Linked DNA regions of Anolis sagrei. The protein of the gene in region 3 interacts with the protein of the main gene of each other region in a pairwise test. Links are inferred from orthologs where the notes say so. Each region holds a gene or a part of one and is shown on either strand. Other genes may lie near its edges. The genes, in order: OSTF1, SH2D3C and EFS.

The links.
Region 1: the proteins of EFS (region 3) and OSTF1 interact in binary tests that used the Homo sapiens proteins (3 or more experiments, as listed by UniProt). The two-hybrid records come from large-scale screens. The link is inferred for Anolis sagrei from reciprocal best matches to the Homo sapiens genes EFS and OSTF1.
Region 2: the proteins of EFS (region 3) and SH2D3C interact in a two-hybrid assay, tested with the Homo sapiens proteins (2 studies listed by BioGRID and IntAct). The two-hybrid records come from large-scale screens. The link is inferred for Anolis sagrei from reciprocal best matches to the Homo sapiens genes EFS and SH2D3C.

Annotation. Positions count from the first base shown.
Region 1 is NC_090022.1:224,607,284-224,618,758, forward strand, and holds the start of OSTF1 (osteoclast-stimulating factor 1), read left to right. Parts: upstream 1-6,292; 5' UTR 6,293-6,523; coding exon 6,524-6,557; intron 6,558-11,475. Other genes in the region: NMRK1 (nicotinamide riboside kinase 1), read right to left, coding at 997-1,087, 3,630-3,658.
Region 2 is NC_090031.1:16,138,604-16,149,407, forward strand, and holds the start of SH2D3C (SH2 domain-containing protein 3C), read left to right. Parts: upstream 1-5,757; 5' UTR 5,758-5,850; coding exon 5,851-5,887; intron 5,888-10,804. UniProt on the Homo sapiens protein: Acts as an adapter protein that mediates cell signaling pathways involved in cellular functions such as cell adhesion and migration, tissue organization, and the regulation of the immune response.
Region 3 is NC_090026.1:9,003,085-9,013,678, forward strand, and holds the start of EFS (embryonal Fyn-associated substrate), read left to right. Parts: upstream 1-6,485; 5' UTR 6,486-6,652; intron 6,653-6,659; exon of another isoform or gene 6,660-9,727; intron 9,728-9,733; exon of another isoform or gene 9,734-10,594. UniProt on the Homo sapiens protein: Docking protein which plays a central coordinating role for tyrosine-kinase-based signaling related to cell adhesion. May serve as an activator of SRC and a downstream effector. Interacts with the SH3 domain of FYN and with CRK, SRC, and YES.

The DNA.
Region 1 (11,475 bases), on a different chromosome or scaffold from region 3:
GGCACCAGAGCTTGGAAGTTAAACCGAGTAAGCCCTAATTAGCACTTGAATGGAAGATTATCAAGGAATCGCAAGTGCCATAAGCAATACTTCAGAGGAAGGAACTGGCAAAACCTTTTCTTGAGAATTACTTGCTGAAGACTTTGACTTGAAGGCACACTTATATAAAAAGTGGCCAATGGTGCTCTCTCTATTCCATGAAAGAATACTTCATCACACTAGAGAACAAATCCACTTTAAATTCAGTTTCTCCTCCTGCATAATTCTGGGGTTTGTAGTTTAGGGAGGGGGCTTTAACAGCCTCATTAAACTACATACCCCAGAATTCTGCAGGAGGCAGAAACTGGATTTAAAGTAGATTCATTCTCTAGTGTGATAATACAAATAGTGGAATGAGATTACTACAAATACTACAAATAAAATTGGAAGTCCACTCTCTACTTTTCTAAAGGCTGTTTGGTCTGTAAGATGACCTTCTTGTTGTTATGGCATAAATTGTTATCCTTTGTAGGATTAGGCATAACCCGCTGAGCTCTTGGCGAGGTTGAAAATGGCCTCCAGCCATTCTGAAGACATCTGCCCCTGCATTACCTCTAACTAATATATCCTAGTTCCACATGATTAGAATCAATGGGGTTGGAAGGAACAAAGCCGTAGTTCCTGGTCCCATTTCCCTATTGACATATTTGAAAAATCCAAGGCTTGGACATCCCCTCCACATGCATGAGCTCCATGCCTCAGTTTGGAACTGTGGCCAAGGCGGCTTTCAGATTGTAGGTTCCTGCTTCAGGCCTTCATCTTAAGACCTGACTTAACTTGACTACAGCTGAGTCAAGCCACAGGGATGCAAGTTTGATAGAGGGCTGAATGATTATCTTCCCTTCTTTTAATTGTGGGTTAAAGATTGGCATGGAGATCAAACCTGGTGGCAGATATTTTACTTGCGAGCTGAACAAAAAGATGGCAGCTTGTGAATTAATCTCTTGATTTCATTACCTTGAAAAAGTCATCTTGAGAGATGATTGTGCAGTTTGGAAACTGGTCCTTGAGTTTTCTTGCCAGAGTTGTCTTCCCTCCATTTGTTACACTGCATTATATATTTGAAGAAAGAATGCTAACATAGCAGATTATACTGTACAATACATAATAGCAACTGCAAGGTTCTGATAGCCTGCATTAGTAACATTGTTCATGATTTTAAACCACTCTTTTGTATGAGAAAGCACTATCTACATTGTACTCTGTCAGGCACACTTTGACCAGGAAGTTTTATTCTTTTCAAATAGCACATATTGTCAAATCCAAGGGCATATTTATTGTAGGAATATAAATCCTGCCTCAGATAATTTTTAGTATCTAATTTCATGATAAATACAGGATGGTTATGTCTAAGGAACAAGTTCTTCTCTGTTGTGGAGGTCAGATGTGGCCTACATCAAGTTTTTGCCAAATGACCTGCTAGCTCGATTTGATGAGAGATATAATGTTAAACATTGGTTGGGCACATTGAAGTGTAGCTAATGTGTTGCATTGAATTAGGATGGGTGAAATCACTATCCTCCAATAAAATAGCCTTGGTGCTTTGCTGGTATGCTGCTATAACCATTCCTAGACAGGTTCAAGCTGTCAGATATCATTCATACACTGCCAACCTCAAGATTGGATTACTATCATAACATAATACAGGGCTACCCATGCGCTTACCTTGAAGGCTATAACTAGTGCATTATACAATAGGTAATCAATACTACAGTATACTAAAAACCCTATACTGGCTACTTAGTCAAATTCAAGAGACAACTCTTTGTTTATAAGGCTCTAAAAGGCTCAGGAGAAGGTTAGCTGAGGGGCCACCTTCTTCCACATATACTATCACAGTTTCTCTGCTTTGGAGTGGTGGGAAAATTTTATTTAATGTATCACAGGCAAGTGACATTCTTTTAGTTACAATACAATGGAGGCCTTTTCTGTTGTGGCCTCATTATACGAATTCTTCCACTAATACAAGGGAAGTGTCCAATAGACATTGCCAATCATGCAACTTGAAGACTTGTTTGTTCAGACATTTTCCTGATCTCCATTTTCCTGATCTCCAATTGTCCCACATACATGACAATTTAATGCAGTTCGAAGATAGCTTCCAACTGCGGCAGCCAGGCAACTAACTCCCACAAAAGCATGCAAAATAAAGTCCTTAATGTGCATCAGTGCTCTGTGGTTTATGTAACAGCCTTTGTAGTAAGAATCAAACTTATGGTTTCCTCATAGTATTTCCTTGCATAGTAACATTGAGCCGTTGAGGGGACTCCTAAGCTTGTGCATTTGAAGTGCTCATGCCACTAAATTGCTGCTCCTTCATTATCACCATCTGGACCTCAAACTAGTTCCAGGCTTTCCTATGGAATCATCTGCACAGTGAAACCAGTTTCTTCAATACCGGTTTGAAACAACATTGTAGATTGGGCCTAAGTCTGCCTGTGACTATAAGGGATTCAATAAAATATGCTACTATTATTGGCCTTTTCGTGTCCATGATAATGATGCCTTGCCCTCCCTTGAAAAGCAATTTATTTCCTAGTCTGCATTAAGCGCATAGTGTGAGATCTACATAAGACTTTAGCAAGAGTATTCGATTTTTCTCTGAGGAAGGCAATTGCACTGTCTACCCACATAATTTGGCACCTGGAACAACATCCTGGTGAATCTTGAGAACCAGTACTACAGTAACCATCAGGGTTTGAGTGCTCATAAATTCAGGCACATATACATTTTTTTGCTGGGTTTATCATGTGTATCTTATTTTCATATGCCAAACATGAACAGTCAATAAACAATGTATGTTATGCTTTCATGGATATGGTTTTATTTCCTATTGGTAATCCAGAATCCTATTACCGTATTGCCTGATAGGGTCAGACCCCAGCATTCTTACATTATTTTATGGTTTCCTTGCTTGATTTTCTTTTGTTTTGTGGCACATTGTAAATCACTTTGGAATTTCTGGGTTGTTGTAGGTTTTTTTGGGCTATATGGCCATGTTCTAGAGCAGTGGTTCTCAATCTGGGGTCCCCAGATGTTTTTGACCTACAACTCCCAGAAATCCCAGCCAGTTTACCAGCTGTTAGGATTTCGGGGAGTTGAAGGCCAAAAACATCTGGGGACCCCAGGTTGAGAATCTTCAGAGGTTGTGAGGTCAGACCCCAGGTTGAGAATCACTGTTCTAGAGGCATTCTCTCCTGAGGTCTGACCTCACAACCTCTGAAGATGCCTGCCATAGATGCAGGTGAAAGATCAGGAGATAATGCCTCTAGAACATGGCCATATAGCCCAAAAAAACCAACAACAACCCAGTGATTCCAGCCATGAAAGCTTTCAACAATACACTTTGGAATCTTTTGGAATAAAACGCTTTATGGAAAAATCTATATAAATAAATCGGACATAGATAAGAGAGGCCAGATAGCAGTCTGGTAGCTCTTATCCATGTCTGAGGATAAGAGATACAGGATATGATGTAGGTTGAAAAAATAAAGTGAAAAAAGATGGGAAAAAATATACCCCACATTCAATTATTGATAAAAACTTAGCATATAAAGGAAAGCAGTATTGTAGATTATGTTCACACTCACCCTCCAAGTCCAATGACCAAGATTTTCATAGTTCCTTTTTAATCTAAAAAATTAAATTGAGAGGATTGTGTGTTAGGAACAAATATTTTTTTTCCACAATCTATTTTTGATAGACTGCAAAAGTAAAGTAAAATTAGACATAATATGTAATTCATATCCAAAAATCCCACTTGTAAATATTTGCTGGGAAGGTTATATCTATTTGCAAGTTTCTTTGTTGCCCGTGTATTTGCAAAAGCCTTTTTCTCCCACCCTGTGCCATGTCTGCCGAATCTTAAACTAACACAAAGCCTTCATTTATAGGAGGTTCACCATCAGAAATCGAAATATACAAACCATTTTACATTGTAGGTTGCCCGGATTACAAAATAGAAGCAGCTCAGTAAGGCATTATTTAAACAAGCATTACACATAAAATATGGCACACACACCCCAATAGTTATTGAAGTATCACAGACATAGAGTATACTAGGGACAAGGTATGCAGCACATGTACTTGTTGTGATATCATACATTTTATTACTAAACATTTCAGGGCCCACATCTGTGAGTGTATCTACACTGTATGATTAATGCAGTTTGCCCCCACATGAACTGCCATGGTTCAATGCAATGGAGTCATGGAAATTGTACTTTCACAAGATCTTTAGCTTTCTCTGGCAAAGAGTGCTGGGACCTCAGCAAACTACAATCCCCGTGATTCCATAGCATTGAGTCATAGCAGTTCAAGTAATGTCAAACTGCATTAATTCTACAATGTGGAACGTGTTGTTTAGATACAGATGCAAACTATTAGTGCAAATGAAAAATATTAATATAACCGAAATGAGAAATATAAATGTAATTCACTAGGGCAGTGGTTCTCAACCTGTGGGTCCCCAGGTGTTTTGGCCTACAACTCCCAGAAATACCAGCCAGTTTACCAGATGTTAGGATTTCTGGGAGCTGAAGGCCAAAACATCTGGGGACCCACAGGTTGAGAACCACTGCACTAGTGAAAGAGTTGCTGCTGAGCTATTTATCAACCAAAAGATAAAAGCCTCTGGACTCTGTTACGTAAATTCTGGTGCAATTTAAAAGTTTCAGTCACCAGAGCAGAAAGCCAAGACAAACTAGCAAACACTAAAGAGGGACATTGTGTGTATGTGCCTTCAAGTCCCCTCTTGACTTATGACGATCCTATTAATTTCACAGAGCTTTCTTTGGCAAGGAATACTCAGGGATGGTTTTGCCATTACATACAATGAAAAGACACCCTGGAGTTATATTCTGTACCTTTGTCTGTTATAGACATTGAGTTTGATTCTTCTTTAACTATGAAATATTTCAAAAGGACCATCACAAAATAAATAGAATAAAAATGCCATTTATGACTTCCACTGAGTTATGACCAAATTATATTGATACACAATTTAAGACAATGCTTTGTTACAAATTACAATTATAGCTTTCTTGTGTAGGGTCCTGTGGCAATTCAACATCATGAGGTAGCCCAATCCTTACCACACTTTTAAAAAGGCCACAGTAGATTCACTAGTTATTAGGGTGTATCTATACTATAGGTAAAGGTAAAGGTTTTCCCCTGACATTAAGTCCAGTCGTGTCCGGCTCTGGGGGTTGGTGCTCATCTCCTAAGCCGAAGAGCTGGCGTTGTCCGTAGACACCACCAAGGTCATGTGGCCAGCATGACTGCCTGGAGCACCGTTACCTTCCTGCTGGAGCGATACCTATCTATCTACTCACATTTGCATGTTTTCAAACTGCTAGGTTGGCAGAAGCTGGGGCTGACAGCGGAAGCTCACGCCGCTCCCCGCATTCGAACCTGCAACCTTTCGGTCAACAAATTTAGCAGCTCAGCAGTTTAACCCACTGTGCCACCAGGGGCTATCTATACTATAGATATCTATACTCTAGAACCTATATAAACTAGAGAATTAATGCAGTTTGACACCATTTTATCTGACATAGTTCAATGCTATGGAATCCTGGGAGTTGTAAATTGGTGGGGCTTAGAGTGCTTTGTCAGGGATGTTGAAGAGCCTTGCAAAAATAAAACCCCCAGAGCTCCAGAATTGAGCCATAGCAATTAAACTGGGATTAAACTGCATTAATTCTAGAGTGTAGATGAATCCCTAGTCCATCTACACGACCTATTTCAAAATATTACCATTATCTTTTAGAGCAAAGCTCTTATGCAACCAGCAAACATCAAAGCAATCCAAGAACTGCACCCACTTACCTTCCTTCTTCGAACAAAAAGTGCAAAAAACCACAATAAAGACACCAGGGTCTCCTCTGCCTGTCACTCACAAGCCACGCCCCCTTCTTCTCCAACCCCGTTAGAGAAAGCACCGTCGACCCCGCCCACCAAGGAAAGGGGAGGTGGGCAGTCCTATGCAAATTTGCTACATATAAGCTCCGCCCCTTTCTCCTACACCCCAATAGAGAAGCAAGGCACGATGCGAGGACGTTCTATGCAAATAGGGTATATTCAAGCCCCGCCCCTTCCTCCTCTAACCCGTTACAGAAGCACCATCGGTCTCCCACTCCCAGGAAAGGGGCGGAGCATATGTAAATACACCCACTCCCATAGGCCAAGTCTCTCAAGTCCGAGGGTGTCGCCACGCCCCCTATTCGGGATTGGCTGGGCGCTAAGTCGGGAGAGCTGCCCTGGGCAAGAGTCTTTCCCAATGCCTGCGGTGCCCAAGAGCGGCCACTGGGGGCGCAGCGAGCAGCATCTGCTTCGCAGTGGCGACGCTTCCCACTTCCTCATCTTCGCGAAAAGTAACTTGTGAGCCTTTCGGGGCGGTGGGCGAGGCGATCCCTGCAGGAGGAAGCAAGCTCGATCGACCCACATCCAAAAGGCTTGGAAGGCTCGCCGATCCGACCCAGCTATGTCCAAGCCGCCGCCTAAACCGGCCAAACCAGGTAAAGGGGGGAGATCTAAGCTTTTGAGCCAGGAAAGGGGGAGATCTACACTGTGGAACGAATGCAGTTTGGCATCACTTCCTCGGAGTTGTAGTGAGGCACCAGCACTCTTGGGCAGAGAAGGCTGGAGACCTTGTGGGACTACAACTCCCAGGATTCCATAGCCTTGGGCAGTGTGGCAGTTCAGCATTCGTTTCAACCTTGACGGAAGACTCGCAGGAGAGCGTGAGAAGAAGGGGAAGATCCACCTTGACACGTGGATCACTTTTCCCCCTTCGGAAAAGCATTGCCTTCCTTTCCCTCCACTCCCTGCAGCGTCAGCATACGCTTGGCACGCGAATTAGCACAGAGCCCGGGGCTGAGAGAGTGTGACTTGCTGAGCCAGGATTCGCACCCAGCACTCTCGACTCCAACCACGGTGGCAGCGTAGCTCCTGGGTTGTTGTGAGTTTTGAGGGCTGTATGGCTATGTCCCAGAAGCATTCTCTCCTGACGTTTCGCCTGCATCTATGTCAGGCATCCTCAGAGGTTGTGAGGTCTGTTGGAAACCAGGTTTGTATCTCTTTGGAATGTCCAGGGTGGGAGAAAGAACTCTTGCCTGATTGAGGCTACTGTGGATGTTGCAACTGGCCACTTTGATTAGCACTGAATAGCCTTGCAGCTTCAAAGCCTGGCCGCTTCTTGCCTGGGGGAATCCTTTGTTGGGAGGTGTTAACTGGCCTTGATTGTTTCCTGTATGGAATTCCCCTATTTTCTTAGTGTTCTTTATTTACTGTCCTATTTTAGAGTTTTTTTAAATACCGGTAGCCAGATTTTGTTCATATTCATGGTGTCCTCTTTTCTGTTGAAATTGTCCTCATGCTTGTGGATTTCAGTGGCTTCTCTGTGTGGCCTGACATGGTGGTTGTTACAGTGGTTCAGCAATTCAGTGTTCTCAGATACTATGTTGTGTCCAGGTTGGTTCATCAAGTGTTCTGCTATGGTTGGCTTCTCTGGTTCAATCAGTCTGCAGTGCCTTTCAGTTATTGTCATTTTTATTGAAATAAGAAACAATCAGGGCCAGCTAATCACCTCCCAACAAAGGATTCCCCCAGGCAGGAAGAAGCCAGACCTTGAAACTGCTAGGCCATTAAATGCTAATCAAGGTGGCCAATTACAACATTCACACCTGCCTCAAACAGACAAGAGTTATTTCTCCCACCCTGGACATTGCAGAGATATACAAACCCAATTTTCTTAGTTTCCAACAGACCTCACAGCCTCTGAGCCTTCCACAGATGTAGGCGAAACGTCAGAAGAGAATGCTTCTGGGCCATGGCCATACAGCCCGGAAAACACAGCAACTCAGTGATTCCGGCCATGAAAGTCTTCGATAATACAGCATGGCTCCTGTTTCCTAGAATCTAAAAAAAATCTAACTTGATTTACTCTTGTCCCAAGTCTGTTTTTAAGAGACTTGGAGCTGATAACACTGTAGAATGAACGCAGTTTGTTTGACATTCCCTTTAACTGCCATGGCTCAATGCTATGGAATCATGGGATCTGTAGTTTGGCAGAGAAGGCTGAAGAGGCCTTGGTAAACTACAACTCCCAAGATTCCGTAGCACTGAGCCAAGGCAGTCAAAGTAGTGCCAGGCTGTATTCAGTGGACAGTGTAGACGCGCCCATTGAAAGAGAGAGACAAGAGAGATAGAGAGAGGTAACCCGAAGCCTTCCTCCCTGATCCGGGGTGTGGCCGGCAGCGGCAGGGATCGATCGCGGAGCAGGAAGTGCGGTGCAGACTGCACCAAATGCTCCCTTTCTTCGCCTTCCGCCCGCAGAGCTGAGAGAGAGGGTGATCGATCCAATGGGATCTTCTTACAAACGCTGCTGCGGTTGGTGGCAGCAGTGACTTGGGAGAATTTGTTTTGGTGCATCTTTGAAGGTGCCAAAGCCTTAGGGTGTATCTAAACCAGGCATGGGCAAACGTGGGCCCTCCAGGTGTTTTGGACTCTAACTCCCAAAAGTTGGGATTCACCCAGGCAGGAAGCAGCCAGGCTTTGAAGTTGCAAAGCTATTCAGTGCGAATCAAGATGGCCAATTGCAACATTCACAGTTGTCTCAATCAGACAAGAGTTCTATCTCCCACCCTGGACATTCCACAGATATATAAACCCAATTTCCTTAGTTTCCAACAGACCTCACAACCTCTGAGGATGCCTGCCATAGATGCAGGCGAAATGTCAGGTGAGAATGCTTCTGGAACATAGCCATACAGCCCGGAAAAACCAGCTGTTAGGAATTGTGGGAGTTGGAGTCCAAAACACCTGGAGGACCAAGTGTCCCCATGCCTGATCAAAACTGTAGGATTAATGCAGTTTAATGCCACCGTTAACAGCCATGGCTCCATGCTATGGAATCCTGGGAGTTGCAGTTTGATGAAGTACAAGCACTCTTCGGCAGAGAAGGCTAATCACTGTAAAACTACTGCCATCTCTTAGCATCAAGCAATGGCAGATTTTCAAAATCATATCATAAGCGACTTGAGAAACTGCAAGTTGCTTTTCATGTCAGCAGAGATGTTGCTCAGGGGACGCCCAGATGTGTTACCATCCTGTGGGAGGCTTCTCTCAGGTCCTCGCATGGGAAGCTGGAGCTGACAGACAGGAGCTCGTCTTCAGGTCAGCAGTTCAGCCAGATTTCAACTCCCACAATTCCTAGCAGCATGGGCAAACTAGGGTCCTCCAGGTGTTTTGGACTCCCAACTCCTACAATTCCTAGCAGCCATTAGGCTGTTAAGAATTGTGGGAGTGGAAGTCCACAACACCTGGAGGGCCGAAATTTGCCCATGCCTGGGTTAACCCATTGCACCACCGCGGCTTCCACCACCATGGCAGTCAAAGTGGTGTCAAACTGCATTCATTCTTCAATGGAGATGCATCCGTAGATACCAACAGACACCACCCTGGATACGTCTTCTGAGGCTTAAGGTGCACCTTAAGGTCTAACTGATATCTAATAGGAGCTACAGTCTAACAGTTGACACCCCAAAAGCTGGACTTTACCTCTCCTTGCCTCAACATCTAATATGTTTGATTTAGAATACAACCCACTGTCTCATGGGCGGTTGCCTGGCATCCTTGTTGTTCAGAGTGGAGCCATGTGTAGCATAAAGAGTGTGTGGACTGAGTCAGGTGATGCCATTAGAGGGGCCACAACCAAAAATATCTAAATTTTGTGCAGTGTTTCAGCCTTTGTTTGTTTTTTGTTTTTTGTTTTTTAAATCCCTGTAGCACAATATAACACAAAGTAGTGTTCCCTCGCTACTTTGTGGTTCGCTTTTTTGTGGACTCACTGTTTTGCGGGTTTTTGCCTCCTGGCAACGATGGAGTGTGGAAGGCGGTTTCACCCTCCCCCTCGGGGGAGAGACAGCCAATCATAAAAAAAGAGAGAGAGGCACGGCCTTATAGCCCCTTATAGCTAACAAAGAAAAAAGAAAAAAAGAAGTGTGCGGTTCCTTTAAATCTCTCCTTGCTTCTACCTCACCCTCAGAATGCGATATATATAGATATATATAGCGCATCCCTATCTTGCAGATTTTCACTTTTTGCGGGTGGTCCTGAAACATAACTCCCGCGATAAATGAGGGAACACTGTAACCTCAAAAACAACTGTGTATGTCCAGTTTAAAGGTAAAGGTTACTGCTTGACATTAATTCTGTCATGTCTAACTCTGGGGGGTAGTACTCATCTCCATTTCTAAGGAATGCAGTTACCTTTCTGCCAAACATATTGCTCTATTCACATTTGCATGTTTTTGAACTGCTAAGTTGGCAGAAGCTGGGGCTAACAGTGAAAATTCACCCAGCTCCCCAGATTCAACCCGCTGACCTTTTGGTCAGCAAGTTCAGCAGCTCAGCAGTTTAACCCACTGAACCACCAGAGGCTTCAATTTATATCCTTTATCCAGCATTCTGAATCCAGTAGGCTCTCAGGCTGCTTCTATTCAGCCACATACTAATAGTAATAGTAATAGTAATAATAATAATAATAATAATAATAATAATAATCAACTTTATTTATACCCCGCCACCATCTCCCTGATGGGGACTCGGAGCGGCTTACATGAGGCCAAGCCCAACAACACAATACAATAAATGATGTCAAAACACACACAATAACGTGATAAATTACATGAAACATAAAAATACAACAAACAATTTAAAATTAAAATCAATCATAACGCAGTGATTGTGACAGTGACAGTGAATGGGCCGAATGTACAGAATAAAATACTAAAGCTAAAAACTAAAAACATGGGGTGATATAGGGATGGAGCCGATTATTTGTGAAAGAGAAAATCTTCGGAAATGAGGTCAAGAAGGATCAGAATGTGGATTAAAGAAATCCAGTCTCCACATGGACCTTCAGGAACCGCAAAAAAGTTCCCACATAGTCACAAGGCTCCCCTCGTACCAAATTGATCAAGAGGAATATTTTTTTCCCCTTACCTGGTTGGAAGAAATGAACCAATTGCAGCAGCTCTTTGGATGAGAATCAGAAGTAGAACTCACCTTTTAGCTAAAAAAAAAAAAAAAAGGGGGGGGGGGGAGAGGTGTTCATTTACCTCACTGAGAGCATCATATCCAGTTCCTTCATTTGAATTTTCCAGTAGTGCTTCTGTTTACATAAGTGCTGCGCATGTTGCTCTAGAATGTTTGCTCTGCCACATCCATTCACTGATCAACTGCAGTGAACCGTAGTGATGCAATGGGTTAAACCCTTGTTCCAGCTGAACTGCTGAACTGAAGGTCCACGGTTCGAATCCGGGGAGTGAGGTGAGCTCTTGTCTGTCAGCTCCAGCTTCCCATGCATGGACATGACTGAAGCCTCCCACAGGATGGTAACACATCCAGGCGTCCCCTGGGCAACGTCATTGC
Region 2 (10,804 bases), on a different chromosome or scaffold from region 3:
AATGCTCTTTGATGTAGGTAAACTATAAATCCCAGTATCTACAATTCCCAAATGTCAAGCTCTATTTTCCCAAACTCCATCTGTGTTCATATTTGTGCATATGGAATATTCGTGCCAAGTTTGTTCCAGATCTATCATTGTTTGAATCCACGGTGCTGTCTGGATGTAGGTGAACTACAACTCCCAAACTCAAGATCAATGCCCATGTTAGTCATGGGAGTTCTGGGTGCCAAGTTTGGTTCAATTCCATCATTGGTGGAGTTCAGAATGATCTTTGATTGTAGGTGAACTATAAATCCCAGCAATGACAACTCCCAAATGACAAAATTAATTTTTTGAGTAATGGTCACTCCTTGGGTTATTAGGTGTCTTGTGGCCAAATTTGGCAGCAATTCGTCCAGTGGTTTTGAGTTCTGTTAATCCCACAAACAAACATTACATTTTTATTTATATAGATATATCTTGTAAACCGCTCTGAGTCCCCTTCGGGATTGAGTCTCCTTCGGGAATAGTGCCCAGGGTGGGAGAAAGAACCCTGGTCTGTGGCAAGTGTGAATGTTGCAATTGGCTGTCTTGATTAGCATTTAATGGCCTTGCAGCTTCTAACCCAGACTGGTTGCCGCCTGGGGATATCCTTTGTTGGGAGGAGTTAGCTGGTGAATGGGTTGTTGTAGGTTTTTCGGGCTATATGACCATGTTCTAGAAGCATTCTCTCCTGACGTTTTGCCTGCATCTATGGCAGGCACCCTCAGAGGTTGTGAAGTCTGTTGGAACTAGGAAATTTGAGTTTATATATCTGTGGAATGTCCACCCAAATTTCCTCGTTCCAACAGACCTCACAACCTCAGAGGGTGCCTGCCATAGATGCAGGCGAAACGTCAGGAGAGAATGCATCTAGAACATGGCCATATAGCCCGAAAAACCTACAACAACCCACTGATTCCAGCCATGGAAGCCTTCGACAATAGCTGGTGAATGTTGCAATTAGTATTGAGTGGCCTTGCAGTTGCTGAGTCAATCAGTGAGGGTATTTATTGGCTGTTGTTGCCTGGAGGCATCCTCTGTTTGTCTTTCTAGTTTTTTTTTTCATAACTTTTATTATGTTTTCGCACAGTTGAGTTGAGCTTCAACGTTTTTACCAATTTTAACATATTATCCACAACATAAATTCCTTGAATTAAATAAAGATGGGTGCTGTCCCCTCCTGGACCTAACCGCTTCATATATTATTTCCAAAACATCATTGTTTACACTGCAGGTTTGCTTCCTTGCCCTTCAGCACAGACATGTGCTATCAATTTCCCCCATATATTCCAAAAAACATTTAATTTCCAAATTATTTTTTAGTCTTATGTCAATTTATCGTTTATTGCTATATTCCACACTTCTTTGTACCAGTCTTCTATTATTATTGTTATTATTATTATTCTATCTGAAAATCATGTTTTTATTTCCAATTTTTCGCTATTATCAGCCTCACTGATGTTAGTAAATTGGAAATTAACTCCTTTGTTGTGTTGTCGAAGGCTTTCATGGCTGGAACCACTGGGTTGTGGTGAGTTTTCCAGGCTGTCTGGCCATGTTCCAGAAGCACTCTCTCCTGACATTTCACCCACATCTATGGCAGGCATCCTCAGAGGTTGTGAGATCTGTTGGAAACTAGACAAGTGGGGTTTATAGATCTGTGGAATAATGTCCAGGGTGGGAGAAGGAGCTCTTGTCTGCTTGAAGCAAATGGGTAATGTTGTCATTGACCACCTTGATTAGCATTTAATGGCCTTGCAGCTTGAAAGCTTGGCTGGTTTTGATATTGGAGGTGACCTCCCCCTCCCCCAGGACTCTGTAAAAGATGGTTCAAAACCAAGGAATTCATAGTTTTACCAAGGACACCAGGTTGGAATGATCTCATAATCCCCTATTTTGCAAACATTAATAATTTAAACCAATCAAAAGGACATTTCTTCATTTTTTTTCCTGTTACCTGCCTCCCTTCTACCCATTGGCTGAGAGGCCGAAGCGGCGCTGGCTTTCTCATTGGCTGAGGCATGCCTAAGCCGGCCGCACCTCCCCTCTAGCTGATGACTCCAACCAATCAGCGTGAAGCCGGCTAAGGGGGACGGGGGCGGGAAGTTTGAATTTGACAGCTCTGTTTCTCTATAAAAATGTACTGTTCTGTCTTGCAAAACATGTCAGTTTTTGGCAAGGGATTGCAGCTTGACATCCGTACCAACTGGAACAAAATAAGGGCAATTTGATGGCATTTTCTTCAATTTGGTGAAACTTTTATCGGGAAAAATCAGGGAAAATTCTTTGGGTGCTTCTATCTGTCTTGCCAGGGTGAACGGACTCTCTTTGGTGGGTCTGACTGGTCTCTGTCTCCTGGCAAAGACCCCTAAATTCTTGCTCGATATTAGTTTCATGTCAGGGAAATTCCTGATATTAAACAATCAGGGCCAGTTAACACCTCACAACAAAGGATCCCCCAGGCAGCAACCAGCCAAGCTTTGAAGCTGCGAGGCCATTCAATGCTAATCAAGGTGGGCAATTGCCTCCAAGAGACAAGAGTTCTTTCTCCCACCCTGGACATTCTGGAGATTCTGGTTTTCCGAAACATGCAGCCAAAAAAACTCACAGCAAACCAGTGCTTCTGGCCATAGAAGCCTTCGGTTACGACAACACACTCCTTGAATAAGTAATGGCAAAGGGATCCCTATGAGAAGGCCACCTTAAGCAGAAGTCAGCATGATGGTACACAACAACAAGGACACATGCCTTGGGATGTATTTTTCCATGGGGAAAAGGGAAGTGCCCTTAAGATATGGTTGCACAGCTCCTGTTCCATCCCGCAGGGGCACTGGGGGCGGAGTGACCTTTGTGCTCCTGGTGCTCCACTCTGCTCTTTGGCTGAGTCGCTTCCTTGCTTCCTTTCTCCCCAGGCTGATGTTTTCTCCCTTTTTTTGTAGGATCTCTCATCAGATAAGAGGCCTAACAATGGCTCCATTTGAAGGCTGGCGGACCCTGTCCAGTTTCAAGGGGCTATTTAGTTTCCACAGAGCTTGAAATGACAGTCATGGGTCCGTTATGTGTCTTTCTTTAGGGGCAATCAATCCTCCAACTTAAGCTACTGAGGGAGAACAGGAAGGGGCCTGGGGCTGTTAGGAATTGTGGGAATTCCAATACATCTGGTAGGAAGGTCAAAGTTTACCCATGCCTGGCATATCCAAAATTTATGAATTAGATACAACTTACTAATTACTAATAATTTCGTATATTGTCTATATGAAATTGACGGTTGAATCTGTAGATCTGGGGACTGCAGATACAGAGGACTCACTGTATGTAATTCAATTTGGAAAAAGGAAGTAAAAAAAATACAGTATGCACAAGAGAACTCAGGCTTAGCTTCTCACTCTAACGTAGTGTTGCCTGAACTGACTTTAAGGTAAACAACTTGTTGTTTAATAGACACCCATGAAATTGTTGGTTCCTGTGAATTTCCTTCAGAACTTTCTCATGTAATCTCTCTGAACGACACAATCTATTTTTGTCTCTAATTTATAAACACAGACTTTTGTTGATCTCTGTAGCTATACGTGGATTCCCATGGGAACCCTCCTTATCACTCAGATCTTTACTTGATTCCTTATTTGCTGCTGCTTCTTCTGGCTCCCCTGACTGCCCTTGAGGCCCTGCACCTTCCGAGTCAGTTTTCTCACCGAGAGAACCATCATTTCTCAGACCTGAATTTCCCAGACTTGAGAGCCCATGAACAGGAACATAGAAAACTTCCAAAATTAACACTTGACTTGAACCAGGAACAAGAGAACTCAGGCTTAGCTTCTCACTCTAACGCAGCATTGCCTGAACTTAAGATAAACAACGTATGTAATAGACACCCATGAAATAATTCATAGATACAACATAAGTCCACAATCAAGAAGATATAACTAGTAAAACTTGATAAGGAGTACATGAACAGGAACATAGAAAACTTTCAGAATATCAAATCCAAAATCAAGGCTTGATTTGATCCAAGAACAAAAGAACTCAGGCTTAGTTTCTCACTAATGTAGTTGCCTGAACTGACCTTAAGGTAAACAACTTGTTGCTTAATAGACACCCATGAAATAATTCAGTTTCCTGTGAATTTCCTTCACAGCTTTCCCACGTAATCTCTCTGAATTTTCAGCTCTGATTTATAAACAAAGACCTTTGTTGATCTCTGTAACTACACCTGGGTTCTAATGGTAGCCCTCTTTACTCAACTCTTCACTCGATTCCTTAGCTGCTGTTGCTACTTTTGACTACTCTGAATACCTTGAGGCTTTGCACTTTCGAAGCCAGATTTCTCACAAAGAGAACCATCATTCCCCAGACTTGAATTTCCCAGACTTGAGAGCCCATCACTTTGTGCCACAGGGAAGCGCACAATCCTCTCTAAACCATCAGTTAAGCCATCAGCCTCTGGTGGCTGATCTACAACAACATGGTTGAAGCAAGACTCAAAATGAGAGAAGTGACCGATAGGAACAAGTGGAGAACAAGAAGCAAACAAGCAGACCCTGCAAATTGATGGGACAAACACTAAGAATTATTATTTATTTATTTATTTATTTACATCGTTTCTACCCCGCCCTTCTCACCCCCGAGGGGGGACTCAGGGCAGCTGACATGGGCAACAGTTCAATGCCATAATATCAATACAACAACATAAAATCAAATACATAAAAAATTAACAATAACATTAATTAAAATCACATAGTCATATACTAATGTAGTCGCCTAATCAAAATCACATATCCGTTTACTATTGTCATAATCCCGTGGTCCAGTTCAGTGTCTAAGTGCTGCTAAGACCACTAGCTGAAAGCCTGACTCCAAAACCACAACTTTAGTTTTTTCCTAAAAGTGAGGAGGGAGGACGCCGATCTAATTTCATTGGGGAGCGAATTCCACAAGCGAGGGGCCGCCACTGAGAAGGCCCTGTCCCTCGTCCCCACCAGATGCGTTTGTGACCCCGGTGGGACCGAAAGCAGGGCCTCCCCAGTAGATCTTAAATTACGAGGTGGAACGTAGAGAGAGATACGTTCGGATAAGTAAGCTGGGCCGGAGCCATATAGGGTTTTATAGGCCAAGACCAGCACTTTGAATTGTGCTTGGAGGTGGACCGGCAGCCAGTGGAGCTGACGCAGCCGGGGGGTGGTATGCTCCCTGTATGGCGCTCCGGTGAGTAATCTGGCTGCTGCCCGTTGGACTAGTTGAAGTCTCTGAACAGTCTTCAAAGGCAACCCCACGTAGAGTGCATTGCAGTAATCTATTCGGAATGTAACCAGAGCAGTAATAGTTGCAATAATCTATTCGGGATTACTGTTCGGGATAAGTACATTGCAGTAATCTATTTGGGATGTAACCGGGATGTAGGAAGAAGAAGAGGAGGAGGAGGAGGAGGGAAAGGAGGTAAATGAACCAGGAGTTTGAGATTTTTTTTAATTTTGGGGTTTTAGCTCCCAGAATCCCCCATTAAAAGAAAAATAATTTTGGCAGAATCCGCGATGGACCACTGACGTCTTACAACCAAAGGAGCAAGTGTTGGGAAAGGGCACGCAGAAGCATCGTGTGCCTTTTTTTTCCCTCTCCTTTCTTGAGTTTCATTCTCTCTTTTTTTAAAAAAAGGATCAAAGCAAACGCAGAGAGTAGGGTTGTGCAAGTGCAGAGGAAATGTGAGCAAAACAGAAAGCGAGAAAGGGCGGGGGGAGAGGGTGGGAAAGGAAGGCAGGCTCGGTGCCAAGAGGGCTTGATGAAAGTTGTAAGCCTGGTGCACATTTCTTCTCCTTCGTTGGAACCCAAACCATGGAAGGAAGCCAGAAGAGGGGAGGAGGCTTCAAAAGTAAGTGAACACACCGCAGGACACCGATTTGCTCACTCTGGCCTTGGCTGGAACATAGGTCGGCATTACATCTCTATAGAGTAATGGCATCTGTGTGAAAGAGGAAAGTCTCTCCTGGACTGTGATGAAGTTGCCAAGGTCTTTTCTGGCAAACAAACAAGGCAAATGTGGGCTAGGCAAAACTATGGTTAGGTGGATCTGTACAGTATTTCTCAACCTTCCTAATACCGCGACCCCTTAATACAGTTCCTCATGTGGTGGTGACCCCCAACCATAACATCATTTTTGTTGCTACTTCATAACTGTAATTTTGCTACTGTTATGAATCGTAAGGTAAATATCTGATATGCAATATGTATCTTCATTCATTAGACTAAATTTGGCACAAATACCCGCTACATCCAAATTTGAATACTGGTGGATTCGGTGTGGGATGTGTGTGCATTTTGTCATTTGGGAGTTGTAGTTGCTGGGATTTAAACTTCACCTACAATTAAAGAGCATTCTGAACTCCACCAAGGATGGAGTTGAACCAAACTTGGCACACAGAACTCCCATGACCAACAGAAAATACTGGAAAAGTTTGGTGGGTGGGCATTGATCTTAAATTTTGGAGTTGTAGTTCACCTACATCCAGAGAGCATTGTGGATTCAAACAAGGATGGATCTGGACCAAACTTGACATGGATATGCCCAAATATGACCAACAGAAAATACTGGAAGAGTTTGGTGGGTGGGCATTGACTTTGAATTTTGGAGTTGTAGTTCACCTACATCCAGAGAGCATTGTGGATTCAAACAAGGATGGATCTGGACCAAATTTGACATGGATATGCCCAAATATAACCAACAGAAAATACTGGAAGAGTTTGGTGGGTGGGCATTGATCTTAAATTTTGGAGTTGTAGTTCACCTACATCCAGAGAGCATTATGGATTCAAACAAGGATGGATCTGGACCAAACTTGACATGGATACTCAGTATGCCCAAATATGAACACTGGTGGAGTTTGGGGGAAATAGACCTTGGTATTTGGGAGTTGTAGTGGCTGGGATTTATAGTTCACCTACAATCAAAGAGCATCCTGAACCCACCAATGACTGAATTGGGCCAAACCCACATAGAACCCCCATGACCAACATAAAATACTGTATTTTCTGATGGTTTTTGGCAACCCCTCTGACACCCTCTTGCGACCCCCCCCCCCCCCCGGGGTTCCGACCCTTGAGTTAAAAAACACCGGGTTAAGCAAACGAACTAAGAGGGTGATTATCCCCAGTGCTTCCTCTTCACCCTGGAAAGAAGTGACGAGCGGAGTGCCATCAGCAGGGTTTTGTCCTAGGCCCGGTCCTGTTCAGGATCTCTATTCATGACTTAGATGAAGGATTAGAAGGCATGATCATCAAGTTTGCAGATGACACCAAATTGAGAGGAAGAGCCAATACTCCAGAAGATAGGAGCAGAATTCAAAACGATCTTAACAGATTAAAGAGATGGGCCAAAACTAACTCAATGAAGTTCAACAGTGACAAATGCAAGATACTCCACTTTGGCAGGAAAAACGAAATGCAAAGATACAGAATGTGGGACGCCTTGCTCGAGAGATCTTGGAGTCCGAGGGGGGAGAAAGGAACATGAGCCAACAATGTGATGTGGCGGCAAAAAAAGCCAACTGGATTTTGACCTTTATAGTGTCCAAATTCAGAGAAGTCATGCTACCCATTCTCTATTCTGCCATAGTTAGACTACATCTGGAATACCGTGTCCAATTCTGGGTACCACAATTGAATGGAGATGTTGACAAGCTGGAATGTGTCCAGAGGAGGGCAACTAAAATGATCAAGGGTCTGGAAAACAAGCCCTATGAGGAGCTGCTTAAAAAGCTGGACATGTTTAGCCTGAAGAAGAGAAGGCTTAGAGGAGATATGTTTAATTATGTGAAAGGAAGTCATAGGGAGGAGGGACCAAGCTTGTTTTCTGCTGCGATGGAGACTACGACGCAATGGAGCAATGGCTTTAAACTACAAGAAAGGAGTTTCCACTTGAACACGTGGAAGAACTTTCTGACTGTGAGAGCTGTTCAGCAATGGAACTCTCTGTCCCAGAGTGTGGTGGAAGCTCCTTCTTTGAAATCAGAGCCTGGATGGCCAAATGTCAGGGGTGCTTTGAATGCAATATTCCTGCTTCTTGGCAAAATGGGTTGGACTGGATGGCCCACGAGGTCTCTTCCAACTCTATGCTTCTAGGTCTCATAGGCTTTTGACAGGTGAGTGTTGCATGGACAAGAAGGACCTTCCTTCTCAGATAGGACCCATTCTACTTGTGAAATTGCCATCCAGAATGAAGCTGGACCCTCATCTAAGACAGGTTCCTCTAGTGACCTAAATCCCCTTCTCAGAAATGATACCTGGTTTTGCAATGATGGTGTCACTGTGAGCCAAAGAACCTTACTCACTCATTCACTTACTTACTTACTTAGTAACTTAGGCGGTCCCTCGCAGTCCAAGGATGATGGTCCCCCAAGTGTAATATCCTGGTGGTGGGTCCGTAAGTGACTGTGGAGCCCTATTCTTGATCTGCATCTTCTCCCACAGTGAGGGCATTGGTTTCCAGGTGGAAGGCGGTCCCGGTTGGGGTTGGCTTGATGCGCCTTCCTCTTGGCACGTTTCTCTCTTTCACCCTCCATGCATGCCTCTTCAAATTCTGCAGCACTGCTGGTCACAGCTGACCTCCAGCTGGAGTGCTCAAGGGCCAGGGCTTCCCAGTTCTCAGTGTCTATGCCAGAGTTTTTAAGGTTGGCTTTGAGCCCATCTTTCAATCTCTTTTCCTGCCCACCAACATTCCATTTTCCGTTCTTGAGTTCGGAATAGAGCAACTGCTTTGGGAGACGGTGGTCGGGCATCCGGACAACATGGCCAGCCCAGCGGAGTTGATGGCGGAGGACCATCGTTTCAATGCTGGTAGTCTTTTCTTCTTCCAGCATGCTGACATTTGTCCGCTTGTCTTCCCAAGAGATTTTCAGGATTTTCAGAAGGCAGCTCTGATGGAATTGTTCCAGGAGTTGCATGTGACGTCTGTAGATACTCCATGTTTCGCAGGCGTATAGCAGTGTTGGGAGGACAATAGCTTTATAAACAAACACCTTGGTCTCCCTATGGATGTCTCGGTCCTCAAACACTCTCTGCTTCATTTGGAAAAATGCTGCACTCGCAGAGCTCAGGCGGTGTTGAATTTCAGTGTCAATGTTGACTTTTGTGGAGAGGTGGCTGCCAAGGGAGCGGAAATTGTCAACATTTCTAATGTTACATCATTAAGCTGTATTTCTGGCATTGGAGAGGGGTTGGCTGGTGACTGATGGAAAAGCACTTTGGTTTTCTCACTGTTAAATGACAGGCCAAGCTTCTCGTATGCTTCTGCAAAGGTGTTCAGAGTGGCTTGTAGTTCTTCTTCTGAATGTGCACAGATGACGTTGTCATCAGCATACTGGAGTTCTATAACAGATGTATTGTAAGCTTGGTTTTGGCTTTCTGTTTGCTGAGGTTAAACAGCTTGCCATCTGTCCGATAGATGATTTCCACTCCGGTGGGAAGCTTCCCATCAACAAGATGACGTATCATAGCAATGACGATGGAAAATAAGGTTGGGGCAATAACACATCCCTATTCAAGCCAAAGAACCAACCCAAGGAGGTTGGGAGGCTTGATGGGCCTCCATAATGGAAATAGATGAGTTGCATCGGCCATGTGGTGCTTGCGGCTTGCTAACAGCGATCAGAGCACTTTGTCACCTCAATGTCCAATGTCCTCCAGCACTGGAAATGGAGTGGCCATCATGAGGCCCAATTATTAAGGTGCTTTACAGTACCTTATTTGTGGGAATGTCAGCGAATCTTCTGCTTGAAATCATTCTTTACATGAAAGTCAGTCCAATCCATGTTTGATTTAGAGATGCAGAGACATAGAAAGGGAGAGCAGCATGGGCCTTAGAGTCATCCATCATCCACAGGTAGCATCAGCTGGGCAGCAGAGGGAGGTAAATTCGAGAGTAATTTTCTGACTTTGGTGCTTAGGTTTCAAGATGAGGAAAAATCTTTAGTCCCTTTAGTTGCGCTCCACCCCAGAGGAGTGAGGACATACTACTTGGCTATTTTTAGACAGATCACTTCTAAATACGTATAATTTCACATATGCAAACTTCCTGAAAACGTGTATCCTCTTTTTTGAGCTGCTGAGTAAGCAAGCAGCCTACAACCTTGTAAATAAAAGCTTTTTCAGCCCAACATTTGAGGGCATGGGCAAAGTTTGGCCCTCCCTCCAGGTGTTTTAGACTCCCAACTCCCACAATTCCTAACCATCAGTAGCTGTTAGGAATTGTGGGAGTTGTAGTCCAAAACACCTGGAGGGAAGGCTGAAGTTGGCCCATGCCTTTGTTCTCTTGGAACTGGACACTTAAGTCAATCAAGGGATCATCTGCATACCCACGTTGTAGGAGCTGGAGTCCAAAACACCTGGAGGGAGAGCCAAATTGGCCCATGACTTTGTCCTCTTGGAACTGGACACTTAAGTCAATCAAGGGATTGATGTCAGGCACCACTCCCTCCCCCCCCTCATAATTAAGGGATAAGGATTTATAGTTCTGCAAAGGGCAAGGGCACAAGACTATACAACAAGGGTTAAATTCTTGGTCACATTGCCAAGGCACTGACAACAACAAGGACCCCACGAGGCTTTTTTGGGAAATGGCTGGAGCTTGGGACTTCTGCCCTTTTGTGAGAGTTGTAGTTCCCCAGGGGCTGAGAGATGGACTCTGTTATTGATCAACTCAGCACCCATCTGCTGATCCCAGCCTGAAACCATGACTCTCTGCTGCGTGGACTGGACAGTTCGCCACAACCCTGGCCATGAGCTTTCTATCAAT
Region 3 (10,594 bases):
TAAACTGGTCTAATCATTCAACGTTTGAATGGGCAATAACAAGTTGGGATTTCCTCTGCCGGCTCTCTGAGTTTGTCTGGCGGGCAAGGAAGTTTCTTTGGACACTTTGACTGAATTACAAAGGGGGGTCCCCTTGCCCAGGCTCTGTTTGTTTCCTCCACAACTACATCATGAGTAATGTGGATGGGAGTTGTGACAGTGTTAGAAACAGCAACCTTCTACAAGCCTCCTATACTAATTATTTGTTATGTATATAATTCAGATTGCTTACTATATTGTATATGTGTGTATTGATATGCAGTTTGCCCTTAACTCTATGTTGTGGGAGGGAGTACAGACCATGTGACCAAATCTGGGACTGCTGAGAGCTCAGGCTCCATTTTTCTTAGACCTCAGGCTCCATTAGACTCAGAATGGAGAGGTGCTTTAGACCAGCACCTCTCAATCTGGGGGTCGCAGGTCATGAGAGGTGACAGAGGGGTCGCCAAAGACCATCAGAAAACACAGTATTTTCTGTTGATCATGGGCGTTCTGTGTGGGAAGTTTGGCCCAATTCTATCGTTGATGGGGTTCAGAATGTTCTTTGATTGTACGTGAATTATAAATCCCAGCAACTACAGCTCCCAAATGTCAAGGTCTATTTTTCCCAAACTCCACCAGTGTTCACGTTTGGGCGTATTGCGTATTTGTGCCAAGTTTGGTCCCGATCCATCATTGTTTGAGTCCACAGTGCTCTCTGGATGTAGGTGAACTACAACTCCAAAACTCAAGGTCAATGCCCACCAAACCCTCCCAGTATTTTCTGTTGGTCAAGGGAGTTGTGTGTGCCAAGTCTGGTTCAATTCTATCTTTGGTGGAGTTCGGAATGCTCTTTGATTGTAGGTAAAGGTAAAGGTAGTCCCCTGACATTAAGTCCAGTCATGTCCGACTCTGGGATGTGGTGCTCATCTCATTTCTAAGCCAAAGAGCCAGCGTTGTCCGTAGGTAGACACCTCCAAGGTCATCAGGGAGAAGCCAAAACTGCTATTCCATATGCCCTTCAATGTTTGAAATTAGGGAAAGGTAAAGGTTTTCCCCTGACATTAAGTCCAGTCGTGTCTGACTCCGGGGATTGGTGCTCATCTCTATTTCTAGGTCAAAGAGCCAGCATTGTCCATAGACACCTATATGTGGCCAGCATGACTGTATGGAGCAGCGTTACCTTCCCACCGGAGCGGTACCTATTGATCTACTCACATTTGCATATTTTCGAACTGCTAGGTTGGCAGAAGCTGGGGCTGACAGCGCAAGCTTATGCCGCTCCCCGGATTCGAACCTGCAACCTTTCAGTCAACAAGTTTAGCAGCTCAGTGCTTTAACCCACTGCGCCACCGGAGGCTCCAATTGTAGGTGAACTATAAATCCCAGCAACTACAATCCCCAAATGACAAAATCAATTCCCCCCCCCCCCTCAACCCTACCAATATTCAGATTGGGGGGTATCAGGTATTTGTGCCAAATGTGGTCCAGTGAATGAAAAGGACCTGAGGCTGTTAGGAATGGTGGGAGTTGAAGTCCAAAACACCTAGAAGGCCCAAGTTGGGCCAGACCTGCTCTATATTACGGTATAGTATTTTGTATTTCCATCGGATTGGATGGAAATATGCACTTAGTCATCCCCTGTATTCTGAGGCATTTCTGGAGAAAAACGTGGAGCTGGGGGTGTGGGGAGAGAGAGAACGCCCCCACTGCAAGACAATGTGTGGCATTGGGCCCTCAGTTGTGCTGCTGCCATGGTCTCCCAGGAACGTGTGTTTTGTTTCGGAGAGAAATCCCGGCTGGCTTTCCATGCCTTGCTTATCGTGGGCCATTTGCATGGCACTCTGGCAGGGTTTGCCCTGCGGTTGAGGCATGAAGGAAAAAACCGCTGCGAGGGAAAAATACCTGGGCAGCCTTTTGACAACATGAGCTGTCACCATAGCAAAGGATGCAGACCGGGAATCCTAAGAATAGGGATTCCTGGAAGGGGAGGAGGTGGGCAAGATAACAGATTTGGATGCCGGAAACAGTGTCCTCTCTGTTCTTTCAAAAGGGTAAGCAACCTGCCCAGACTCAATCCTCTTCTGGAATTTCCATCCTCGAATACATGAAGTAAAGATGCCTGCAAACCTTCTCTGAGCATGGGCAGAGTGTCACCCTGTCCAAGGATGCCAACATACCTCTGAGCATGAGCAAAATGCTATCATATCCAAAGATGCCTGAAAGCCTCCTCTGAGCATGAGCAGAGTGCCACTCTTTACAAAGATGCCGGTAGATCTTTTCTGAGCGTGAGCAGAGTGCCACTTTTTCCAAAGATATCAGAATATGAGCATGAGCAGAGTGTCAAGGTTTCCAAAGATGCCACAGAGTGCCACTCTTTCCAAAGATACCAGTATATGTCCACTGAGCATGAGCAGAGTGTCAAGACTTCCAAAGATGCCAGAAAGCCTTCTCAGAGCATGGGCAGAGTACTACTCTTTCCAAAGATACCAGAATATGAGCATGAGCAGAGTGTTAAGACTTCCAAAGGTGCCAGAAGGCCTTCTCTGAGCATGAGCAAAGTGCCACTCTTTCCAAAGATGCCGGTAGATCTTTTCTGAGCATGGACAGAGTGCCATTCTTTCCAAAGATACCAGAATATGAGCATGAGCAGAGTGTCAAGACTTCCAAAGATGCCACAGAGTGCCAGTCTTTCAAAGATACCAGTATATGTCCACTGAGCATGAGCAGAGTGTCAAGACTTCCAAAGATGCCTGAAAGCCTCCTCTGAGCATGAGCAAAGTGTCAAGACTTCCAAAGATGCCAGAAGGCCTTCTCTGAGCATGGGCAGAGTGCTACTCTTTCCAAAGATACCAGAATATGAGCATGAGCAGTGTGTCATAACTTCCAAAGATGACAGACGTCCTTTTCTGAGCATGGACAGAATACCACTCTTTCCAAAGATACCAGTATGCATCCTCTGAGCATGAGCATAGTGTCAAGACTTCCAAAGATGCCAGAAGGCCTTCTCTGAGCATGGACAGAGTGCCACTCTTTTCAAAGATGCCTGCAAACCTTCTCTGAGACTGGACAGATTACCACTCTTTCCAAAGATGCCAGGAAACCTTCTATGGGTATAGACAGAGTGCCACCATTTCCAAAGATGCCAGAAGACCTCCTCTGAGCATGAGAAGAGTCCCGAGACTTCTAAAGATGCCAGAAGACCTTCTCTGAGCATAGACAAAGTTCCACCTTTTCCAAAAATGCCAGCAGACCTCTGAGCATGAGCAGAGTGCCACCACTTCCAAATATGCCAGAAGGCCTGCTCTGAGCATGTATAGAATATTACTCTTTCCAAAGATGCCTGCACACCTTTTCTGAGCATGGACAGATTACCAACCATTCCAAAGATGCCGGTCGACTTTTTCTGAGCATGGGCAGAGGGCCACCCTTTCCAAAAATGCTGGCAGGCCCTCTTTGAGCATGGGTAGAGTGCCATCATTACCAAAGATATCAGAAGACATTCTCAGAGCATGAGCAGAGCACCACACTTTCCAGCTGCACATAATAATTAACATCATAAGGTTTTTCTTTAACACACACTTGATCCTGCTACGACTTACTGTAACAAATTCAACATCATTGAAGAAATGCTTCAGGCATGAAAACTCTGCAAAATAAATCAAAATTCACAGCAGTTTCTCTAAATTGGGAATTTGTGACATAACACAGTGGTGGTGCAGCGGGTTAAACCACTGAGCTGCTGAATTTGCTGACCGAAAGGTTGGTGGTTTGAATCCGGGGAGCAGGGTGAGCTCTCATTGTTAGGCCCAGCTTCTGCCAACCTAGCAGTTCGAAAACATGCAAGTGTGAGTATCTCAATATGTACCGCTTCTGCGGGAAGGTAATGGCACTTCATGCAGTCATGCTGGCCACATGACCTTGGAGGCATCTACGGACAACGCTGGCTCTTCGGCTTAGGAATGGAAATGAGCACCACCCCACAGAGCCGGATATAACTAGACTTAATATCAGAGGAAACCTTTATCTTTTAATACAGTGGCATAATTACACTACACCATTTGAGTAAGTTACCTTATACATCTCCCACAATGCTTTGTTGGTCATGTTGATGGGGCAATCCTAAGAATTGTATTCCAAAAAAGTAACAGAATTGTATGACGCTCCAGATTGCCAGTCCAATTTGCTTATAAGCAAGGTATCAAAGGTGTGAGTGCCATTGTTTCAAGCAGCAAAATGCCTTGAGTCAGCCCTGCTTTTGGCCCATGTTATTATTGATGGTGTGACTTTAAACTGTTTCACCTTTTAGTAACTCTAAGGCAATCCTATCACAGTGTTTTTGTGGCAAGATTTGTTGCGTAAAGATTTGCCATGGCCTTTTTCTGAGGCTGAGAGAGTGTGACCTGCCTAAGCTCACCCAGTGCATCTTCATGGCCAAGCAGAGATTGATCCCTGGTTTCCAGAAACATAGTCCAATTCTCAAACCAGTGCTTCACCTAAGCTCATATTCCTTACTTAGGAAATGAAGATGAAATTCTGCTTCTAGTAAGGTATCAGAACTGAATGCAGTTTGACACCGTAGCTTTATCAGCCATGGCTCAATGAAATCAAATAGTGGGAGTTGTAGTTTGGTGAGGCATCAAACAGCAACTCCCAGTATTCCCTAGCATTGAGCCATGTTAGTTAAAGCAGTAACCTAATGCATTAATTCTTTAGTTTAGATGCACTCCAGGAATGGATAATATGGCGTATTGTCAAAGGCTTTCATGGCTGGAATCGCTGGGTTGTTACAGGTTTTTTGGTCTATATGGCTATGTTCTAGAAGCATTCTCTCCTGACGTTTCACCTGCATCTATGGCAGGCATCCTTGGAGGTTGTGAAGTCTGTTGGAAACTAGGAAAATTGAGTTTATATATCTGTGGAAAGTCCAGGGTGGGAGAAAGAACTCTTGTCTGTTGGAGCTGGGTGTGAATGTTTCATTTGGCCATCTTGATTAGCATTTGATGGCCTGACAGTGTTTGGATGTGGCGTGTTACTGCTTGAGGGAATCATTTGTTGAGAGGTGATTAGCTGTCCCTGTTAAAGCCTTGGCAGACCATGCAGAAAGAATCTGCGAAGCCCACCTCCTTCAAGATGAACTGAACCACCTCAACTGGGCTCTCCAGGCCAATGGAGACTCCACCTCAGACTTCAGAAGAGCTGCAAGACCGAGAACAAGCCATGAGAATAAAGACGAAGATCCACCCAGAGGAAAAGTGTTCTTGCCATACATCAAGGGAACCACTGACCGCATAGGGAAGCTGATGAGGAAACACAACATACAAACTATCTACAGACCCACCAAGAAAATCCAACAAATGCTACGTTCAGCAAGGGACAAGAGGGATCCTCTCGCTTCTGCAGGAGTCTACCGTATACCATGCAGCTGTGGACAAGTCTACATAGGGACCACCAAACGCAGCATTGCCCAAACACGAATCAAGGAACATGAAAGGCACTGCAGACTACTTCAACCAGAGAGGTCAGCCATAGCAGAGCACCTGATGAACCAACCTGGACACAGCATATTATTTGAGAACACAGAAATGCTGGACCACTCCAACAACCACCATGTCAGACTACACAGAGAAGCCATTGAAATCCACAAGCACGTGGACAATTTCAACAGAAAGGAGGAAACCATGAAAATGAACACAATCTGGCTACCAGTATTAAAAAAAACTCTAAAATTAGAACAGCACAACAACAGAGAGGAAACAAACAAGGACATCTGATCACCTCTCAACAAAAGTTTGCCCTAGGCACTGCCAGGCAATCAAATGCTAATCAAGGTGGTCAGTTGAAACATTCACACCTAGCTCCAGCAGACAAGAGTCCTTTGTCCCACCCTGGTCATTCCACAGATATATAAACCCTTTTTCCTAGTTCCAACAGACCTCACTACCTCTGAGGATGCTTGCCATAGATGCAGGCGAAACGTCAGGATTGTCTCTAGAACATGGCCATATAGCCCAAAAAAACCTACAACAACCCAGTGATTCCGGCCATGAAAGCCTTCGACAATACATTGTCCCTGTTTGTTTCTTGTCTGGAGTTCACCTGTGTTTGAGTGTTGTTCTTTATGTACTGTTATAATTTTAGAGTTTTTTTAATACTGGTACCCAGATTTTGTTCATTTTCATGGCTTTTTCCTTTCTGATGAAGTTGTCCACATGCTTGTGGATTTCAATGGGGATTCTGAGGATGAGATTTCCACTGAGTCTGTGTCTGTTCCTCAGGTTGAAGTTCAGGAAGGGGCCTGAAGCTGTTAGGAATGGTGGGAGTTGAAGTCCAAAACCCCTGAAGGGAGGACCCAAGTTGGCCCATGTCTGCTGTAAAGGATGCTCCCAAGGTTGCAGCAAAGTGGAGCAGGGTGTTCTTAGGACCCAGGACTGAAAGGCAGGAGGAAAGAGGGAGGGGAAAAAGGAGGCTGGGGGAGGAATAGACGTGTGTGCCCTGGGCGAAGAGGGAGGGGGGCCTCGGGCTCCCAGCCAAATCCATCTGCCTGCCCTTTCCTTGCCTCCCCTCCATCTCCTTCGCCTTCTCTTTCTGCCTTTCTCCGGAAAGCCAAGCGAGAGAGAGAAAGAGAAAGAAGGTAGAAGGGAAAGAAAGGAGGAGAAAGAGCTTGCTGGGTCAGGAAAGGGGAGGAGGAGGAGGGGGGGAGAAGGAGGGAGGAAGAAAGAATGGGGAAGAGCTGAAAGGAGGAGAAGAGCCGGCTCAAGACTTTGGGGGGTGAAAGGCGGAAGAAAGGAGGAGAAAATCCCCCCATCCAGGAGAGGAAGAAAAGGAAAGGGTCAGCAGCCCCCAGCAGATGGGCGAGAGAGAGAAGTAATCCTCTGCGGGGAAAAGCAGATTGCAAGAGAAGGGAGAGAGAGAGAGAGCAAAAAAAGCAGATTGGAAAAGAGGGAAAGACTGCAAAAAAGAAAGAAGAGCAAAAAAAAGCAGACTCCAAAGAAAAGAGAAGGCAGGTGGCAAAAAAGAAGAAAAAGCAGGCTCCAAAGAAGAGAGAAGAAAAGGCAGGTGGCAAAAAAGGAAGAAAGAGAAAAAGCATGCTCCAAAGAAGAGAGAGAAAAGGCAGTTTGGAAAAGAACTGAGAGAGAGAAAGGAGACTGCAAAGAGGGAAAACTGAAGACAATGAACTCAAGGCGCATGCTTTGAGCCTTTTTCTGCCTCCTTTTCCTTGCTCGCTTTCTTTTTCTCTTCTGGTTCCTTCCCTCTCTACCATTCCTTCCTTGTGAGTTTGCCTTCTGTTCTTTCCTTCCCACCGGGTTTTCTGCCTGTCCTTCTGCCTGGTTTGCTTTCTCTTTCTTTCCACCTGATTGTGCTTTCTTTCCACCTGATTTTCTCTCCATCCCCTTGATTCTCTTCCTTCCAAACTTCTCTCTCTCTTCTGCCTGGTTTTTTTCTCTCTCTCATACTTGTTTTCTCCTTCCACTTCATCTTTCTCTCTTTCCACCTGATTCACCTTTTCTGTCTCCACCTCATTTTTGTCTTTCCCACCTCATTTTCTCTCTTCCACACTTGATTTTTCTCTGTTCACCTGATTTGTGTTTTTGAGTTCCTTCTTTCAGATTTACTTTCTCTCTCCACCTGTTCTCTCTTCCAAAACTTCTTTTCCTTTCCTCCTCGGTTTTCTTTCTCTCCACTTGATTTCCTCTCTTTCAGACTTATTTTTCTTTCTCCTCTTGGTTTTTTTGTCTTTGGTTTCCTTCTCCTTCAGACTTTTTTCTTCTGGTCACTTGATAGTTTCTCTCAACTGATCTTTCGTTTGACAGAGTGTATCTGTTTTTCAAACCTTTTCTCTCTTTCCACCTGATTTTTTTCCTTGGTTTTCTCCCTTTTTTCAAACTTGTTTTCCCTCCCACTTGATTTTCTCTTTCCTTCTGATTCATTTTTAAACACCTTTTCTGTCTCCAACTATATTTATCTTTGACTTTCTCTCTTCCAAAACTTATTTTCCCTTCCTACTTGGTTTTCTTTCAATCCACCTGATTTCCTCTTTCAGACTTAGTTTTCTCTCTCCTCTTACTGATCTTTCGTTTGCCTGAGTGTATCTGTTTTTCTATTTTTTTCTCTCTTTCCACCTGATTTTTGTCCTTGTTTTTCTTTCTTTTTTCAAACTTGTTTTCCCTCCCACTTGATTTTCTCTTTTTCCTTCTGATTCGTTTTTAAACACCTTTTCTGTCTCCACCTGTTTTTATCTTTGACTTTCTCTCTTCCAAAACTTCTTTTCCCATCCTACTCGGTTTTCTTTCAATCCATCTGATTTTGTCTTTCAGGCTTATTTTTCTCTCTCCTCTTGTTTTTTTTGTCTTTGATTTCCCTCCTGTTCGAACTTGTTTCTTCTGGTCACTTGATTGTTTCTCTCACCTGATCTTTTTTTTTTTTGCCAGAGTATATCTGTCTTTCAAACTTTTTCTCTCTTTCCAGCTAATTTCTGTCTTTGGTTTCCACCCAGTCTTTCCCTCTCCAATCTCCACTTGATCTTTTCCCCTTCTATCTGATTTTCTCTTTCAAACTTAATTGGTTTTCTCTCATCCAAGCTTATTTTCTCTTTCCATCTGATTATGTTCTAATTTCTGCCTGATTTTCTCTCTCTTTTCAACTTGTTTTCTCCTTCTACTTGATCTTTCTGTCTTTTCACTGATTCCTTTTTTTAAGCATCTTCTCTCTCTTTCTCCTCTTCCACCTGATTTCTTCTTTCTTTGCACCTCTTCATTCATTTTTCTCATCTGCCGTATGCTTTCCTCTCCCTCTCCTTACATCTCTTTCTTTTTCTCCCATCTGGCTTTCTTTCTCCCCCTCTTTTCTCTCCTCCTTTCCTCATCCTCCACCCTCCCTCTCTCCCTCCCATTCATATGGCCAGAGCATCCTCAGCTATAATTTCCCTTTGGAGTCTGGCCATTGCATCCAGCAGTTTAGGTTTGTGCCACTTGGACGGCGCGCCTTTCTCCTGGGCCTGAGGAATTGCTACTTTGGGAGAAGGGGCCCAGCACCCAACCCTTTCATTATGGCTTTGTGTGGCAGCCAGGATCCCAGCTTTACATGCAAAAAGCTCTAAACTCTTCCATTTGTGAGCGGGGCGGCCTGCTTTTCCTTTGAAGAGCGTCCCTCCTCCACCAACGCTTGCAGCAAACCAAGCCTCCCAGCCTCAGCAGAAATTAAATTTTGTCTTTCTACAAAGGAACCAAGGATAATAACACTAAGGATCTGACAGATCTATGGTTCCCCCAAAGTGAGGAACATCTGGGGATCTGTTCGCCAAGCCCTTATTTAGAACCCACAAAGAAAGAGCAAAGCCTTGCAGACTTTTTGAAAGTTTTGTAGTGTTAATGTGCAAAATGCAAAACTCTTTTCTAGCTGACGGTATGAATTTTGCTCCCAACAGCTGATCTGGATTGGTCTAGATTCTGCTACCACTTTTTCTGGATTTTCAAGTAGCCCTTTGTTTGTCAGCTCTTGTTCTTCTCGAGACAGCCCCCATTTGTTTATCTTTGTATGTTTTTATTGCAGCACGTGCAATTTTGGACTTTGTCATTGGTTTGGACTACTGTGCTCTTTCTGGATCTGGATTGGATGAAATAGACCTGCTAGAAATACATCTCTTTTTGCTACAGTTTGTCTTGGGAGTTATCACTGGGTGTGCTTCTTCTGGACTGGAAACAAAACTGTATGCAATTCCTCAAAATTTGCAAAAGATTTTTGAATAGTTCCAGAGGATGATTATGTCCTATGTGCTTGGAAAAATAGCAAGATTGAACTGTTTTCCTCTCTTACTTTCTCTAGAATTCTGCGGCTTTTGAGTACTTAGCTTTCAAGATGAAAAAACTAGGGTTTTTAATGAACCGAAGTTGAATTTGCATGCATTGTGATTTCTATAAAGTTGACTTTTTGGAACTTGCTGGGAATTGGTGTGGCAAAACTCCAAATACATTGGTAATTCTTGAATTTCAGTAAGCATCTGGGCAATACATTTTGCAATTGGGAGGAAGCTGGAAACCAGACCTCAGCATTCAGTGAGATACATATTTTGAGGTCTGGAGTGTGTTTGCCAAAACATCTGGATATTTTGATGCCCATTGCCTTTAATTCTCAGGAGGAAAAAGTAACCTGCAGGATTATTTTTAAATAAACCCAATATTCTGGATTTTCTTTCCATTTATTCTGAATCTGAGAATGAAATTGGGATCCGAAAAGGACACTGGGAACTGTAAATTGGGACTTTCCAGCTGCCATGCTTTCTGTATCTAAGAGGAAAGTTCAGGCTTTCTGGATTTCATGACACTGCAGAATCGGTGTGCCAAGTTGTGTTTGCATGGTTTTTATTTTATTTTTATTTGTGGAGACTTCTTGTAAAGGTCTCTCTTTTGGCTTGCGATTCCTCCCTGCGGTTGCAACACAATTCCCTGTTCAAGCATGTTGAGTTTACGCCCAGCCTGGCTCAATCCATGCAGCCAGGCCTTTTTCCCAAATGGCTTTTCTGGGGCAAATGTGCTGACCAAGAGATTTGGGAAGAGTTAACAAAAACGTCTGGGAA